3 linked regions of the Rattus norvegicus genome follow. The protein of the gene in region 1 interacts with the protein of each later gene in a biochemical or structural test. Links are inferred from orthologs where the notes say so. Each region holds a gene or a part of one and is shown in the gene's direction. Other genes may lie near its edges.

Region 1 (5,600 bases):
GGATTAAAAGTGTGCACCCTCCCCCAATAGCACTCTCATATATATATTCTCCCCTCCCCCCACTTCTCAGGTTCTCATGTATCCAAGGCTGGCTTTGGACTCTTTTTTTTTTTTTTTGAAGTCAAGCTCCATTTATTTACAGCCACCACACACAGCAGTCCTCAGGCCAGTGAACACCCAAAAAAGCAAATCAAGAGTCAAACCCAAAAGGTCCAGGTACACACAGTAGGGCCAGATTCTCCTTTAGTGCACATAGACAAATCTTCCAGTCAAATGACTTGGGCAACCCAAGCTGAAGTCTCTTGAAACTCTCCTTGAGAGAAAGGAGTTATTGTGTGTTTTCATCCAGTCGCTGGAGGCTGTGTATTTCATTTTCTGGGTGAAAAAAACAATTCAGTTTAAGCAGATGACCTTGTGCAGTGTCTGGACACCGAAGAAACCTGTGCACAACCAGTGGGGAGGCTGGGGCACATCGCCTTCCTGCAACCTCCACCCACCTGGCCTCTGCACATGGCCCGGAGTCAGCCTTCTTCAGTGGGAGCCCCAGGTGAGGTTTCTAAATCCCACAAGGCTCCACAGTGCCTCTAGGCCACACCACATAATCTACACGTCACTCTGTGCCAGCAGCTGGGACTCTCTCCTCTTGCCTCAGCTTCTCAGGCATAAGTCACTCCACACCAACCTCTTGCTTCAATTGCATTTTTTAAAAAATGCCTTAAAATTATTTATATGTTTGGGTGTATGCATGTGTGTTTATGTACCACTTGTGTGCCTAGTATCCACAGAGGTCAGAAGAGGAAATAACAGGTTGTCTGGAGCTGGAGTTGTAGATGGTTGTGAGCAGCTTGGGGGACAGACCTAAGGTACTCTGGAGGAGTAGACAATGCCTCTTAACCATTGAGCCATTTCTTTAGCTTGGTACTTAAAATTTAAAGATGTGACGGAATGTTGTGTATCTGTCTTGTTACTGTAAGCAGCTCTGTGACACTCAGGGTTTAAGAAAAAGATCTAGGAGTCTGAAAAGGCATCACTGGAAGCTTGACGCTGAGAAGTGATCTGAGGAGAGAAGGAAAAGAGCTATGCAATATCTGGGATTGCAAGAATGTTCTAGACAGAGTGGCAAGGACAAAGTCCTCCAAGGACCAGGGGGAAAGGGTGAGGCACAGGTCAGAGCAATGAATGGGGCCAGATGGGTATAAATTGTAGGTCATAAGGAAGACTTTGATTTTTATTCTGATTAAAATTGATATTGCCAATTGAAAGATAAGCATATAAGAAAGTCTGGTGTGCCCAGGGAGGGCAAGTCCAGTTTTGAGCTGTAGGCTCAGTTCATTCATTTAACTACCTTTCTTGCATTCTCCAAGTGTTTGGGGGAGGGGATACTTTGTTCCAGGGCCTATGCTAGAAAATAGAGGAAAAATACCCTCACCTTAGTTATAGAGGAAGGAGGTCCTGCCTTCCCACAGGTGGGGTTAACACTGCCAGTGTGGCTTTGGTAAGTGGTCAACTTAGGAAATGAATAGGTTAACTAATAGCATCAAGGAGGAAGGCAGGCCAGCATAGAAGTGCTTGAAGAGGCAGCCCTGTTTGTCCACTGACTCTAAATTCTACCATGGCCTGAGGAAAGGACCAGGACAGGCGCGGCCAGGTGGCCTAGACATGGACATGTTCCTGCTGACTACTCACACTCCACATTTAGAACAGTTTCCAGAAAGTGGTGGGAGGGAGTGGATAGGACAGCTAAATATAGTTCTTGGGCCATTGAACTATCTGGGAGGGTCTGTCCACTATGTGCATGTCACCTGTTACGTCCACCCACTGCCATCTGGCCCTGAGTCCCTGCCCTTGCATTGAGCCTGCTGCTTGCTTCTTGCTTGTCTCTGGACATAACTCCGGTCACCCTGCTGTTAAGCCTGTTCCTGACTGGTCCTCCTGGAAATCTTTTCTGGCCTAAGTTTTCCCACCAGACCTGTAAGTCCTATGGGCCTGGAGATAAGGGGGAAAGAGAGGGTTAGGTATGCTAGAGAGAGGTCAGTGGAAGGTCAATTGGGGAGGGGATTCTAGATAATTCCAGAGGAACGAAGGCCCAGACCTAGGTCACAGGCTGAAGCCTGGGCTAAGTCAGTAGCAAGGAGTGGGTGGAATTGGGTAGTGTTTAGAAACCGGGGTTGATAAATGCCCCGTTGGGTCACATTTGCTTCTATCTGGGCTGAGAATGGCAATATACACTCACTTTGGGATGAGACCACATCCTCTTTACCATTTGACCATAACCAGAGTCTCTTCCACTATGGGATGTGAGGTAGTTATAGGATGGAGCTCTGGCTGCTGGGACACAGATCCCGCATAGGACTGAACTGGAATTCTTGTCTTTGAGTTTGTCTGATGGGACTCCTCTTCCCAGGCTCACCATGTCGACTGCACCAGGCCTTTTGCGCCAGGAACTGTCTTGCCCGCTGTGCTTGCAGCTGTTCGATGCACCAGTGACCGCTGAGTGTGGCCACAGTTTCTGCCGTGCCTGCCTGATCCGTGTGGCAGGGGAGCCTGCCGACGATGGCACGGTTGCCTGTCCCTGTTGTCAGGCATCTACTCGGCCACAGGCGCTAAGCACTAACCTCCAGTTGGCACGCCTTGTGGAGGGTTTGGCACAAGTGCCCCAAGGCCACTGCGAGGAACACCTGGATCCACTGAGCATCTACTGCGAGCAGGACCGCACACTTGTGTGTGGTGTGTGTGCCTCTCTCGGTTCACACCGTGGTCACCGTCTTCTGCCTGCCGCAGAAGCCCATGCACGTCTCAAGGTGCTGGACCAGTGAAGGCTGGGTGGGACTGCTGATTACAGCAAGGGTCTGACCTTGGGAAGCGAGTTGACTTATGTTATGAGCTTTGGAGGATGGGCTCTAGGTTGCTAAGGAGAGTGGGGGAGCTAGGCAGCCAGAAGATGGGTCCAAAGGCCGCATGTAGCATCTGCAGAGCAGAGCTCACAGGAACCAGCTGGAAGCTGCCTATAGAGTAGCTAGCTAGCTTGCTTGGCTGCAATCCTCCAGCAAGCCTGAACATGCCAGAGCCGGGTCTGACCAAACCGTGGTGTGTCTGGCATATTGGGGCTGGGAAACTACCCACACATTCTTGGGTGAACTGCTAGGCTGGCATGTTTGCACGGTGAGACTAGCAGACAGAAAGTTAAAGGCTTGCCCAGGAGTCCCAGAGGCCGGCAGTCCAGCTTCGCACTGATGAATGACAGAGGCCCACTCATTCCTGAAACTACTAAACTTGTGCAAGCCTGAAGTTTTCAAGGGCAGTGGGAAGGGTGAGGCATTCCTGGCCAAAGCTCACCATGGGTAGGTAGCACCAAGATTCCAGCCTAAGCTATTATTATAGTTTGAACTAGAATACAGCCCTTACACAATTGTGTTATCCTGAAGTTGCACCAGGAAAAAAATCCAATTGTCGTCAAATGGATATACACCAAGTACACAGACTCCTAAAATCATGTATATCCCAAGTCATGTGCATGTAGATATAGCAGATAGGTGTCTACCCAGCCCAGGACGGTCTATGGGGGAAAAAAAACCCCTAGCAGCAGGGGCAGAGGTGGGGGGAGGAAGTGGGGTCTGGAGGTAAGGAGTGGCCCTTCCCCAGCCCAGTGAAGCTGTTGCTATTGTGTTCTGCTGCCTCATAGGCACTGCTTTCTCAGCACCTAGTCGTCACTCTTCTTTGGTACCAATTCCCAAACGTTCTGGGGCCTTGCCTCACAACCCTCCTTCCTGTGCCCTCCTTAGTTCAGTTCAGTCCTGGCTGTGAGTCTGCTGTTAGGAGACCTCCCAGCCCAGTTCCTCTTTGCTAACCCCTGAACTCTATCTAACCTTACTCATTTTTTTTTCTTTTTTCTTTTTTTTTTCCGGAGCTGGACCGAACCCAGGGCCTTGCGCTTCCTAGGCAAGCGCTCTACCACTGAGCTAAATCCCCAACCCCAACCTTACTCATTTTTGTCTGTGAACTATATTTAACCTGTAAAATAGAAGTCTCTCAGGCTTCTGGAAACATAAGGGACAGACATGGAGCTCCAGTCTCAGGGATCTGCATCAGCTTAGCCTTAAGCCTTAGGAGGTCTGAAAAAGGAGACCCCAGAAAAGAGCCCAAGGTGGGGCTGGGGTGGAGACAGGAGGAGCTCTGGAGCTTTGACAGGCTAGAGGGTTGGGTCAGGAACCCACTTACCAGACTCAGTGTGGTTGGGCAAGTTCCTGGGTACTGGGGCCCGCACTGCCTTTTGAAGCTGTGCTGCACATCCCTGTACACCCATGTCCTGCGCCATGGTCGCTATGGGTTTGACACTGTGTAGTCCTCGAAGTAGGAGGCAACCGGCTTGGTGGTGAGGTTGATGGCATCCAGTGGCCCAGGTTCCCTCATCTCCCAGGATGTGTCAAAAGCCCTCGGGAGTGGAGCTAGCTTCAAGCTTGAACTTCTTGGGGTAGTCAGACACCCTAATACCTTCTGATGGTGCTTGTTTGCCATGGCTCAGCCCTGAGTCCTCTGAACCTCTGATCACAAGCACCTGGAGCAACCAGGCTATCCTCACTGACAACAGATGTGGATGCCTCAAGGAAGACCATCTGAGGAAGAGATTGATCTGGCAGCTAGCCAGTAGTCTTTGGTTCAGCCCTGTGGTTTCCTCTGGGCTGCTATTCCTCAACAAACACCACCTTGCGTCATCAGTTTCCCCAGGGGAGCAGGAGGTGTCATCTGGTTGAAGTGGGGGTGTTACTGTCCCATTCTGCAGAGGAGGAAGAGGAGGCTAAGAAGAGCAGTGGTGGTAAGAAGGCAGGGGTAACCACGGCAGGGACCTACTGTTAGAAGCTCTCCCATGCTTGCACTCCAGTGGTCCCTAGACAGCTCACAGAAGGCTTAGCTGGTCCCTAGTGGGTGTGTACACTAGATTTTCTGTCCTCGGAGCCCATAGGCCTGGAAAGGGCTGGCTAGGGCACCAGCTGACTATGGCTGCATTTTTAAGTAAGGGGTGAAACACAGGAAGGGAAGATTATACTCCCTCTCCTTCTTCCTCCTCCCCTTTTTCCTCCTCCCCCTCCTCCCCACTCCTTCTCTGCTTCTTCCTCCCCCTCATTTTCCTTCCTCTCTCTTCCTTCTTCTCTTCTGAGACAAGGTCTTAGGTATTGTTATGTAGCTCAGGCTGGACCTCAAATTTGTGATTCTCCTGCCTCAGCCTCCTGAGAGTTGGGGTTGCAGACATGGACTATCATGGCTAGCTAGCGTCCTTTCTTTTTTCATTCACCCTTCACTCATTTCTGGAAGCCTGTTGTGTGCCACGTGCTATACTTTGCAGTCTGGTGGTGATCTTGTGTTTGTGATCCTTGCAAGGACCTATACTGGGGTTAAGTGCTTGCAGGTGATGCTGGAGAAATTAAGGCCAGTGGGAAGTTAAAAAAAATAGAACATCGGGCTGGAGAGATGGCTTAGCAGTTAAGAGCACTGACTGCTCTTCCAGAGGTCCTGAGTTCACAACCATCTGTAATGGGATCAGATGTCCTCTTCCGGTGTGTATGAAGTACAGTGTACTCATACAAATAAAATTTAAAATAAAA
Region 2 (5,128 bases), on another chromosome or scaffold:
CAAGTCCTATAAAATTTTCAATTTTTTTCTCCCCTTCCAAAATAAGATTTCCCTAAGTGGCCCAGGTTGGCCTAGAATTCACTAGGTAGCCCAGGTCAGCTTTCAGCCTCATGAATGCTGGGATTGCCAGTGATCCTGGGTCTTGGGCAGGAACATAAAGGCATCCTATGTCCATGTCAGGTTTGTGGCAGCCCCATATGGGAGACTGTGTCACAAACAGTACACAGTAGAGGGTTTTGAAAATGGTAAAAGTTGGCTATTTTAAGGAATTACTCATAGGGCTGGAGAGTGAACTCAGTGGTTAAAAACCGGCTACTTTTCCAGAGAACCAAGGTTCAGTTCCCAGCACCTCTATGTGACTCCCGTTCCAGTGGGATCTCATGCTGCTTCCAGCAGCTGTGGACCCTGTACACATGACACAGACATGTGCAGGCATAAAACACTCATACATAAAACAAAAATATTTTTGCAGGAAATTATGTCACTTTGAGCTAGTTAATAGGGGTTTCTACCTTACCTGGGATCATTCAGTTCCCAAATAAAAGGCACAAAACCTTCATTTTTTTTTTAAACTTTTTTTTAAGATTTATTTATTTATAAGTACACTGTAGCTGTCTTCAGACACACCAGAAGAGGGCATCAGATCTCATTACAGATAGTTATGAGCCACCATATGGTTGCTGGGATTTGAACTCAGGACCTCTGGAAGAGCAGCCAGTGCTCTTAACCACTAAGCCATCTCTCCAGCCCAACCTTCATATTTATAATAAGTCTTAAAGCACTAGAGCTGGACAGACATCAACCTATGCTATTTTGCCTACTTCCCTATCAATACCCTGGAATTTTAATTTGCCATGTTCTTGCTGGGCCGTTCTTTCTCCAGTTGGCCAACCCTCATGGTGTCTTCTGTATGTTTGTGTCTGTCTGTCTGTCCTTCTCTCTCCTTCCTCTGCCTCAGAGAACCGAAACTCTGCCTACCTCTCTTCTGCCCAGCTATAGGCTGTAGGCATCTCTACTGACCAATCAGGGATACCTTGGTGGGCAAGGTTACACAGCACCACTTGGAGAAGCGGACTAGGGCCTTATTTAGCATTACAATACATAGCAACACACCAACCCTCAACATTGGCGAGATGGCTTAGTGTGGGTAAGCTGTTTGCCATGCACACTTGGTTCCTGGGTTCAGTCCCCTGAACCCATGTAAAGGTGGAAGAGTGAGCCAGCTCCACAGAGTTGCCTGACTCCAGTGCACACCCCACAGCAGATGCTCCCTCACAGTCCTCCTGCATGCACAGAGGAACAAGATGTCGTACAGAGGAATTACAGTAGCTCGGGGTGGAATAGATTGTTGTACATCTTAGTTTGGGAAATGGAGTAGATTTAAAGTGGGAAAATGGGGCTGTGGTCATACCAGCCTATCATAAGATCCTGGATTTGAACTTTCTTTCAACAATGCAGAAAAAGGGGGTTGGGGGGTAAAGGTTGAGAAAATTGCCTTTTAAAGAGAATGCTCTGCGTATGCTCATGTGGCTGCTTAGGTATAAGTTTCAAATATAATTGGTGTTGATGTTATTGTGGAACATACCTTTGTGGGAAATCATCTGCATTGTAGCTGAGCATTTAAGCAGGTAAGCAAGACAGGGAGAAGGGTGTTGGGAGAGCGGAGAGGTAGTTCTGTGCTTAAGAGTGCTTGCTGCTCCGTTGGGGATTTAGCTCAGTGGTAGAGCGCTTGCCTAGCAACTGCAAGGCCCTGGGTTCGGTCCCCAGCTCCGAAAAAAAAGAAAAAAAAAAAAAGAGTGTTTGCTGCTCTTCTAAGGGACCTGCCTGTAGTTCCCAGCGCCATTTGGCCTTGGTGGGCATTTTGCATGCATGTGATGCACATACATTAATGCAGCCTAAAACACATACTTGTAAATAAAAACATTTTTAGAGCATTCTTGACTACTGAATTCCAGTTAATTAGGTGAAATTGCATGTTTCCATGCATGAAGTGGTTTTTTTGTTTGTTTTTTCAGATCTTACCAATATATTTGAGTCCTTCCTGCCCCAATTGCTGGCCTATCCTAACCCCATAGATCCTCTCAATGGTGATGCTGCAGCCATGTACCTCCACCGACCAGAAGAGTACAAGCAGAAAATTAAAGGTAAGATGGCTTGTGCTTTTAGCTGGCCATTTAGAGTCTGTTTTGTTGTGTTTTGTTTTTTGAGACAAAATGTCCACGAAGGCCAAATGGCACTGGAAACTACAAGCAGGTCCCCTAGAAGAGCAGCGAGCAGTTTTTGGGGGGTTTTTTTTTGTTTTTTGTTTTTTTCTTTTTTTTCTTTTTTTTCTTTTTCTTTTTTTTCGGAGCTGAGGACTGAACCCAGGGCCTTGCGCTTGCTAGGCAAGCACTCTACCACTGAGCTAAATCCCCAACCCCCCAGCAAGCACTCTTAACCTCAGAACTACCTCTCTGCTCTCCTAACACCCTTCTCCCCCTCTTGCTCACCTGCTCTGTGTAGCCTTGGCTGTTCTGAAACTCACTCTTTAGGCCATGCTGTCCTGGAACTCGAGATCCACCTGCCTCTGCTTCCTCAGATTAAAGGGATTAAAGGTGCGCACCACCTCCACCACCACCAGCAGCAGCCTAAAGCCTCTTTAAGTGACTCCGTTTCTTGTAGGCTTTCTCTAGTCTGAGAAGAGACTGCAGTGGTCTCATTGACTACCTGTAGGGCTTAGAGCCTATGTTCCCACACTTGGGACCGACCACTTGCATAAGGCTGTGAAAGTACACCGAAAGCTGGAGTTGTGTCTGCTCACCTTCCTTTCTCTTCAGTGTGCCTTCTGGTTGTGCTACAGCCACCACCCCTGCTTGCCCTTACCTGGGTCTGCACTGGGAGCTTGCCTGTGAAACTGGTAGGTGCATAAAGCTTAACACAAAAGGAAGAGACGCCAAGTGTGGCGGCGTCTGCCCCTTGTGCACACACAGCTAGCACTGGGTTCCCGCCTGTTAGATAATGATGTGCTCATCTGCACAGGATATAGCACATCAAGAGCCTCAAGTGGGTCCAAACCCATTGGCCAACAACAGCAGTGAAGGAGAACTTGAGCACATAGGTCTCCAGTTTAGATGTGCAGGGCTCAAGTCAAACAGGAACACTGGGACCATGTGTCGAGTAATAGTTTTCTTCTGTTTGTTTCTCCTATCCCCAGGTCTCTATGGAGTATTGTTGAATATTTTTTTTTTTTTTTGGTTCTTTTTTTCGGAGCTGGGGACCGAACCCAGGGCCTTGCGCTTCCTAGGTAAGCGCTCTACCACTGAGCTAAATCCCCAGCCCTGAATATTTTTGTTTAAAGTAGAAATGTTCGTTTTCATAGGTCTCGAGTACTTTGCAAATTAATAACCTAATTTAATATAGCACAGTAATGTACATAGCTAAAAACCCATGTACTCTAAGTAAACTGCAATTTCAACCATATAAGATTTTGTTAGGAAACTATGCTAAAATTTTGACATTGCCTTCACTTACCAGTGTCTGTAAACCATGGGTATCTTAATACAGAAAATATTTATATAGTTCCAACACCCATTATGCCTTAGCAATATAGTACTGTCATGACTGTACTACAGGTTTGCTCTGGCCCTGGTTGCCAAGGAAACCAGACCTGTGTTCATCTTAGGGTAGATAGCTGCTTCTGTCTGGGGACCCCTAACTTTCTGTGGTGTCCACATTGAGTCAGTTTGCAACCCTTGGTAGGGTGGTGTGAGATGTCGTGGCTGTCAGGCCTGCGCTCTGCCCTGCTCTCTGCTGTACCTCTGCACACCAGTCCCCATCTTCCCTGTGCCTCATTCCTCACACTCACCCTCACCAACTTGTACATTTGCTTCCCTTACTACTGGGATCGCCCATTTCTAAAGCCCTTGTCTGCTGCTTTTAGGACTTATGCTTCCTGCCCTGAAACCATACCCCTCTCTACCAAAGCTGGAGCCTCACTTCCTCCAAACCTGTGGATCCTTCTCAGGCCCCATACCTGGGCCTCGCTACAACTCTGGTGTTTCCTTCTACTCTGGTTCTCATTCCCATTTCCTAAATGTGACTGTCTTAGTCAGGGTCTCATTGCTATGAACAGACCCCATGACCAATGCAACTCTTGTAAAGACAACATTTAATTGGGGCTGGCTTACAGGTTCAGAGGTTCAGTTGGTTATCATCAAGGCGGGAGCATGGCAGCATCACAACATCCAGGCAGGCCGGTGCAGAGGGAGCTGAGTTTCTACATCTTCACCTGAGGGAAGCCAGGAACAGCCTGAGCATCCCCAGGCAGCTAGGAGGAGGATCTCCAAGGCACCCCCACAGTGACACACTTCCTCCAACAAGGTCACACCTTCTAGTAGTGCCACTTCCTGGGCCAAACATATGCAAACCATCACAGTGACCATTCTCTTATGACCAATATACGCTTTTACCCCCAGGCTCCCCCCTCTCCCCTGAGTACCTTATCCATGGCTTTCAGTAATCCTCTAGATAATGTTGGCTCAGCGGGGTGTGTCTAGGCCTGACCCTTTTCTCAGGTCATCTTTACAGTGGTAGTCACAGCTTAGCACACTTCATCATAGAGAGTCGGAACTGCTTCTCCCCCAGGCCTTAGCATTTAGTCTACCTGATGCTGTTTACCTGCAGGTGTGGCACACAGCGCTGCTAGAGAGATGATGTCTCAACAGCGAATGATGTACACATACCAGTGACATAACACCTCCATAAGACCACACCTTCTGACCCGTCCCAGTTTCAATAACTGGGGGCCAAGTATTCAAATGGATGAGCCTACGGGGGACATTCTAATTCAATGCACCACACAAATGATTAAGTTCAGTTCTCAGCACCCATATCCACAGACCACTACTGCCTGGAATTTCGGCTTTAGAGGATCCAATGTCTCTGGTATCCTCGGGTAGTGTCCCCCTCTCCCCATAGACAGACACACCCATATCCACATCAATAAATATAAAAATAAATCTTTTAAAATGCAGGTGTAAAAACACAGTTGAGTACAGCCAGCCTGTAGGTGACATGGGGACCCTTGGTCTTGTCTAAAGATAGGTAACTCCCATGCAAAACCTTCACTAGTAAGCGAGCCGGCACTCAG
Region 3 (5,128 bases), on another chromosome or scaffold:
CTCCTCTTCTTTTGCCCCCTCCTCTCCTTTTTAATTCTTCCTCCTTCTCCTCTCCCCCAAAACATGGCTTCTGTGGACAGAACTCAGATCCCCAGGCTTATTCCTGAGAATTCACACACTTAGAGCATTCACCAAGTAAACCGTCTTCGCAGCCTGCCAAGGCAGGGTTTACGTATCTTGTCTGAGCCAGTTGCACAAAGCACAATGTTTTATGTCCCATAAGCATAAAACTAATGCTGAGGGCATCATGGCTGATGAAATATATGCAGCAGTGTATATCACCTGGGAAGCAGTGACAAGATGAAGTTTGGGGCTAGAAAAATGGATCAGTTCTGTTGCTTTCATCCAAAGCTTCTTGGGGATGATTTATTTTCTCTCACATTTCCAGATCACAATGCATCATTCAGGGAGCTCAGGGCAAAACTCAAGGCCCAGAGGCAGGAACTGAAGCAGTGACCATGGAAGAATGTTGTTTATGGGTTAGCTACCTTTCTTATATAAGCCCAGGGCCACCTACCCAGGCATGGCACTGTCCATAATAGATTGGGCCCTTCCTACATTAATCATCAGTCAAAAACATGCTTCACAGACATGACCACAGGCCAATCTGATGGAGGAAGATTTTCAGTGAGGTTCTTCTTCCCAGGTGTGTCAAGTTGATGACCAAGATTAGCCATCACACCTGCAAATACATGAGCATGCATACACATACGCATATACACGTACGCATACACACACATAACCGAGACCACCCCTTTGCTCAAAAGTGGCCAATTAGCTGTTCTTTTTGCATTGGCCTGGATCATCCAGGGTTCAGTTGAGCATTAGATTCAGCTTGGTCTTCAATACCGAGTTATCTGCTGACTCCTCACCTTTCAAACTCAGCAGGACCAGTTGCTACTTATGTGGATGAGGCCCATGTAAGCAGTAGCAGATCCTATACGCCCCTGTTTTCATTGTAGACCTAACACAGTCTAGAGTCACATAGAGAGAGAATCTTTTTTGGTTCTTTTTTTCGGAGTTGGGGACTGAACCCAGGGCCTTGCGCTTCCTAGGCAAGCGCTCTACCACTGAGCTAAATCCCCAACCCCATAGAGAGAGAATCTTAACTGAATCCCAGGTCAGACTGGTCCTCAGTCATGCCTGTGGAGCATTTTCTTGGTTGACGATTGATTGTTTAGAGGGTTTCTTGCTGGCCCAGAGCTCACCAAGTAGACTTGGCTGGCTTGGCTTTGTTTTTGATTGATTGTTGAAATGAGAAGAGCCATTCCATGGACTGGGTCTTGAGCATGAGAGTGGAGAAAGCTAAGTTGAGCAGCCGGCAGGCATCATCCTCATGTCCTCTTCTCTGCCGTTGACTGTGGATGATGAGAAATGATCAATGACTCACTACCTTAGTTTCCCTGAAATGACAGTCTGACCTGTAATTGTAGCCAAACAAACTCTTCCTCCTTTAAGCTGCTTTTTTCTTATGATATTTTATCACAGCAACAAAATGAAGACAGGTCTCCTGCCATCCTTTGATCTAACTCTCTTCCCAAAGAGGCAGGAGGTTGACTACTTTGGTCTGAAGCTAACTATTCAATCCAATTGCCTGACTTTTTTTTTTCTCTTGACCCTTTCTAGGTGAAAATGAATTACTTAAATTCTCTTTCATCCGGACGTCTTTTGACAAGATCTTGCTGAGGTGGGAGCCCTACTGGCCCCCCGACTTCCGAGATCTCCTGGGATTCATGCTGTTCTACAAAGAGGCGTAAGTAAGAGGAGGTAGATGTTTGCTCCTTGTTGCAGAGACAGACAAAGACTGTCAAGAAGAAGTTTAAGGAAGGGAAGTTCCATCTTGGCTCACAGTTTACATGGTGGGGTTGTCATAGCAACAGGAACATGAAGCAGCTGGTCACATGACATCACGGCTGACAGGAGGCATAGAGATGAATGCTGGCGCTCAGATCATGCTCCCCTTTAAAAGAAGATGTTTTACGCATTCCTTTACATTTTCACACATCTCTGTAGTATAGTGTGATCATATCCATCCACCATGTTCTCCCTCCACCATCCCCTAGTGTGTCCATCCTGCTAGTCCCTAAGCTTCACATGCTCTCTGTGTTGTTAACAAGCCTTTGAATTCAGTAAGTGCTGCCCATGTGTGCATGCATGCACATGGAGATATCCCTAGAGCATCCATGTCCCCAAAGGACTACTCCTCCTCTAGGAGAGGACCTTGGTGCCCTCCGCCATCCTTGCTGAAATGTCAATCGGCTTGATCTGGTTCAGGCAGTCCCAGCTGGCATGAGTTGCTGTGTGGAGCGACCATGCCATGTCCGCCATGTCCAATAGTCAGCACTGCACAGCTCCTCCCATTTTCCTCTTCATTTAGGCTGGGGGTGTATCTACCTGTCTCCATCTCACGGTGCTGGCATTGCAAATGTTCACTACCACACCTGGCCTTTCCATGGGTGCTAGGGATCGAACTCTGGTCTTCGTGTTTGTACGGCAAGCTCTTTGTCCACTGAGCCATCTCACAGGCCCAGCGGTCATATGTTGCTGACTCATGTAGGGAATATGAAATTTTCTATGGGGAACATAGAAAATGTTGGAGTGGGAAGAAAAAAAAAAAAGAATGCCTTGACTACACCTAAGCTACCACACACCGTACACCCTCGCTATGCCACAGAGCCTTAGTTATTTACCCTTATGGCTCCATGGTAAGTTGAGAACTGATACTCTGTGAGCGTAGTCAGCATTGTGAACTCATCACACTCTGCCGCGAGCTTGGGAGAGGCTGGAGAGGAAGCTCAGTAGTTACGTGTGCTTACCATGCTTCCAAGGACCTCAGTTCGCTTTCCAGCATCCAAGTAAGGCATCTCTCAACCATCAGAACCAGGGGTCCAGTGTTCCCTCTGGCCCTTGAAAGCACATACATGTGACTGCACACACTCAGATGCACATTCCTACTTCTAGAAAGACACATGCTGTGGAATGTACTTAAAGTCTCAAAGTACAAAGAAGCAGACATGGACAGATCTTTTGGGGGCTCTGACTAGCCAGAGTAGCTTTGGAGGTGAATTTTAGGACTGCAAACACAGGTGGCACTCAGATGTGAATGCCATTAGTCCCAGCACTGAGGACACAGAGGCAGGTAGACGTCTGTGAGTTTGAAGCCAACTAGGACTAGAGTCCATCTCAACAGACAGAAAAAACAAAGTTCATGGAACCTGATGCTGTTCTCCAGGTCCACGCACATACACTTCACCCTGTAAACACACACACACACACACACACACACACACACACACACACACACACACCTGCACCTGAACACTAAATCAAAGAGAGAAGTGAGTCTACATCTCGTAACTCTCCCCCACTCCACTTAGTACTGAGATTGACATTTACACAGTGGTAACCCACCTCTCCCTCTCATTTCTCAAAAGCCCTTATCAGAACGTGACAGAGTTTGACGGGCAGGATGCGTGTGGCTCCAACAGCTGGACTGTGGTGGATATTGACCCGCCCCAGAGGTCCAACGACCCTAAGTCTCAGACCCCAAGCCACCCTGGGTGGCTGATGCGGGGCCTCAAACCCTGGACCCAGTATGCCATCTTTGTCAAGACCTTGGTTACCTTCTCTGATGAACGCCGGACCTATGGAGCCAAAAGTGATATCATCTATGTGCAAACAGATGCCACCAGTAAGTTTGTCCTGGGAATAGGGCTTTGCTGTTGAACCGACTCTGTATCTGTGGTAGGCAGCTTCTGTAACAGGCTTTGCTGTGGTTGGCCTGTAGAGGAGCTAAGAGCTGAGGCTCATGTTTTCATATATAATGACTATAACCCATGAACCACTTCAGAGTTCGAGAGTTCCCTTTTGGGTTGGGAAGATGGCTTGGTGGGTAAGACTGTATGATGCTCCCATTACCACATTGAAAGCTGGGTATGACCATGTTCGTGCTCCGGAGTCCTGGGTCCCAAGGGTTTCCATGTACTTGCCTCTACTCCCAGAGCACTGGGGCTCAAGGACAGGGCAAGGTGATGCTAGGATTTGATAGTTGCCAGCCTAGCTTCAGTTTCAATGAAAGATCCTGTGTCAAAAGAGTAAGGTAGACAGTGATAGAATGGGATGCCTGATTCCTCTGCTGGGCTCTGCGCATGCAGAGGTACCACCTATCTAACACACACATGCACACCTCCCACATATAACACATGCTACATATAACATACCACATACAACACATGCTACATGTAATACACACATGTATACACACACAGCACATCTAACACATACCATATGCAACACACATGTACACCTGCCCATCATATATAATATACACACATGTTACATATAACACACACATTGCATGTAACACACATGTGTAAGTATGCATATATATAACACACATACTACATATACTATACAGACACCACATATAACACAGTCACCACATGTAGCACATGTATATGCACACACATACCACATATAACACATATCATATGCAGCATACACTCACTCATACACACCTGCCCAACATATATAATATGCACACATATTACATGTAACACACACATTGCATGTAACACATATGCACAAATGTGCCTATACATAACACATATAATACACATACTACTTATAATACTCACACAGATACCACATATCACACAATCACCACATGTAGCACATGTGTATGCACACACATACCACATATAATATGCTCACATACCACATAAAACATATTTGAACATATACTAGAACACACATTCACACATCTAACACACAATGTAAGTGCACACACACATACACACACATGTGCACACAGAAATGGACACATGCGGGGTTGGGGATTTAGCTCAGTGGTAGAGCACTTGCCTACCAAGCACAAGGCCCTGGGTTCGGTCCTCAGCTCCGAAAAAAAAAAAAAAGAAATATGAAAAAAAAAAGAAGTGAATTCAATCAATAAGTATCTTAATTAGTTAATTAAAAATGAGAATTAGCCCTGGTATACACATCTGTAGTCTCATCACTTGGGAGGCTGAGGCAAGGGAATTGTGTGTTTGAGGCCAGCCTGGATTACATATTAAGACCTTGTCACAACCTTAAAACAACAATAAAATAATAGTGAAATGTTTGGGGG

Evidence for each region.
Region 2: the proteins of Trim72 (region 1) and Ube2h form a complex in vitro, tested with the Homo sapiens proteins (2 studies listed by BioGRID). The link is inferred for Rattus norvegicus from reciprocal best matches to the Homo sapiens genes TRIM72 and UBE2H.
Region 3: the proteins of Trim72 (region 1) and Insr form a complex in vitro, tested with the Homo sapiens proteins (2 studies listed by BioGRID). The link is inferred for Rattus norvegicus from reciprocal best matches to the Homo sapiens genes TRIM72 and INSR.

The regions. Positions count from the first base shown.
Region 1 is NC_086019.1:192,042,330-192,047,929, forward strand, and holds the start of Trim72 (tripartite motif-containing protein 72), read left to right. Parts: upstream 1-1,890; 5' UTR 1,891-1,971; intron 1,972-2,404; 5' UTR 2,405-2,411; coding exon 2,412-2,801; intron 2,802-4,218; exon of another isoform or gene 4,219-4,620; intron 4,621-4,671; exon of another isoform or gene 4,672-4,813; intron 4,814-5,600. UniProt on the Homo sapiens protein: Muscle-specific E3 ubiquitin-protein ligase that plays a central role in cell membrane repair by nucleating the assembly of the repair machinery at injury sites.
Region 2 is NC_086022.1:59,809,581-59,814,708, reverse strand, and holds part of Ube2h (ubiquitin-conjugating enzyme E2 H), read left to right. Parts: intron 1-2,015; coding exon 2,016-2,144; intron 2,145-5,128. UniProt on the Homo sapiens protein: Accepts ubiquitin from the E1 complex and catalyzes its covalent attachment to other proteins. E2 ubiquitin conjugating enzyme that transfers ubiquitin to MAEA, a core component of the CTLH E3 ubiquitin-protein ligase complex.
Region 3 is NC_086030.1:6,030,301-6,035,428, reverse strand, and holds part of Insr (insulin receptor preproprotein), read left to right. Parts: intron 1-1,626; coding exon 1,627-1,753; intron 1,754-3,434; coding exon 3,435-3,691; intron 3,692-5,128. UniProt on the Homo sapiens protein: Receptor tyrosine kinase which mediates the pleiotropic actions of insulin.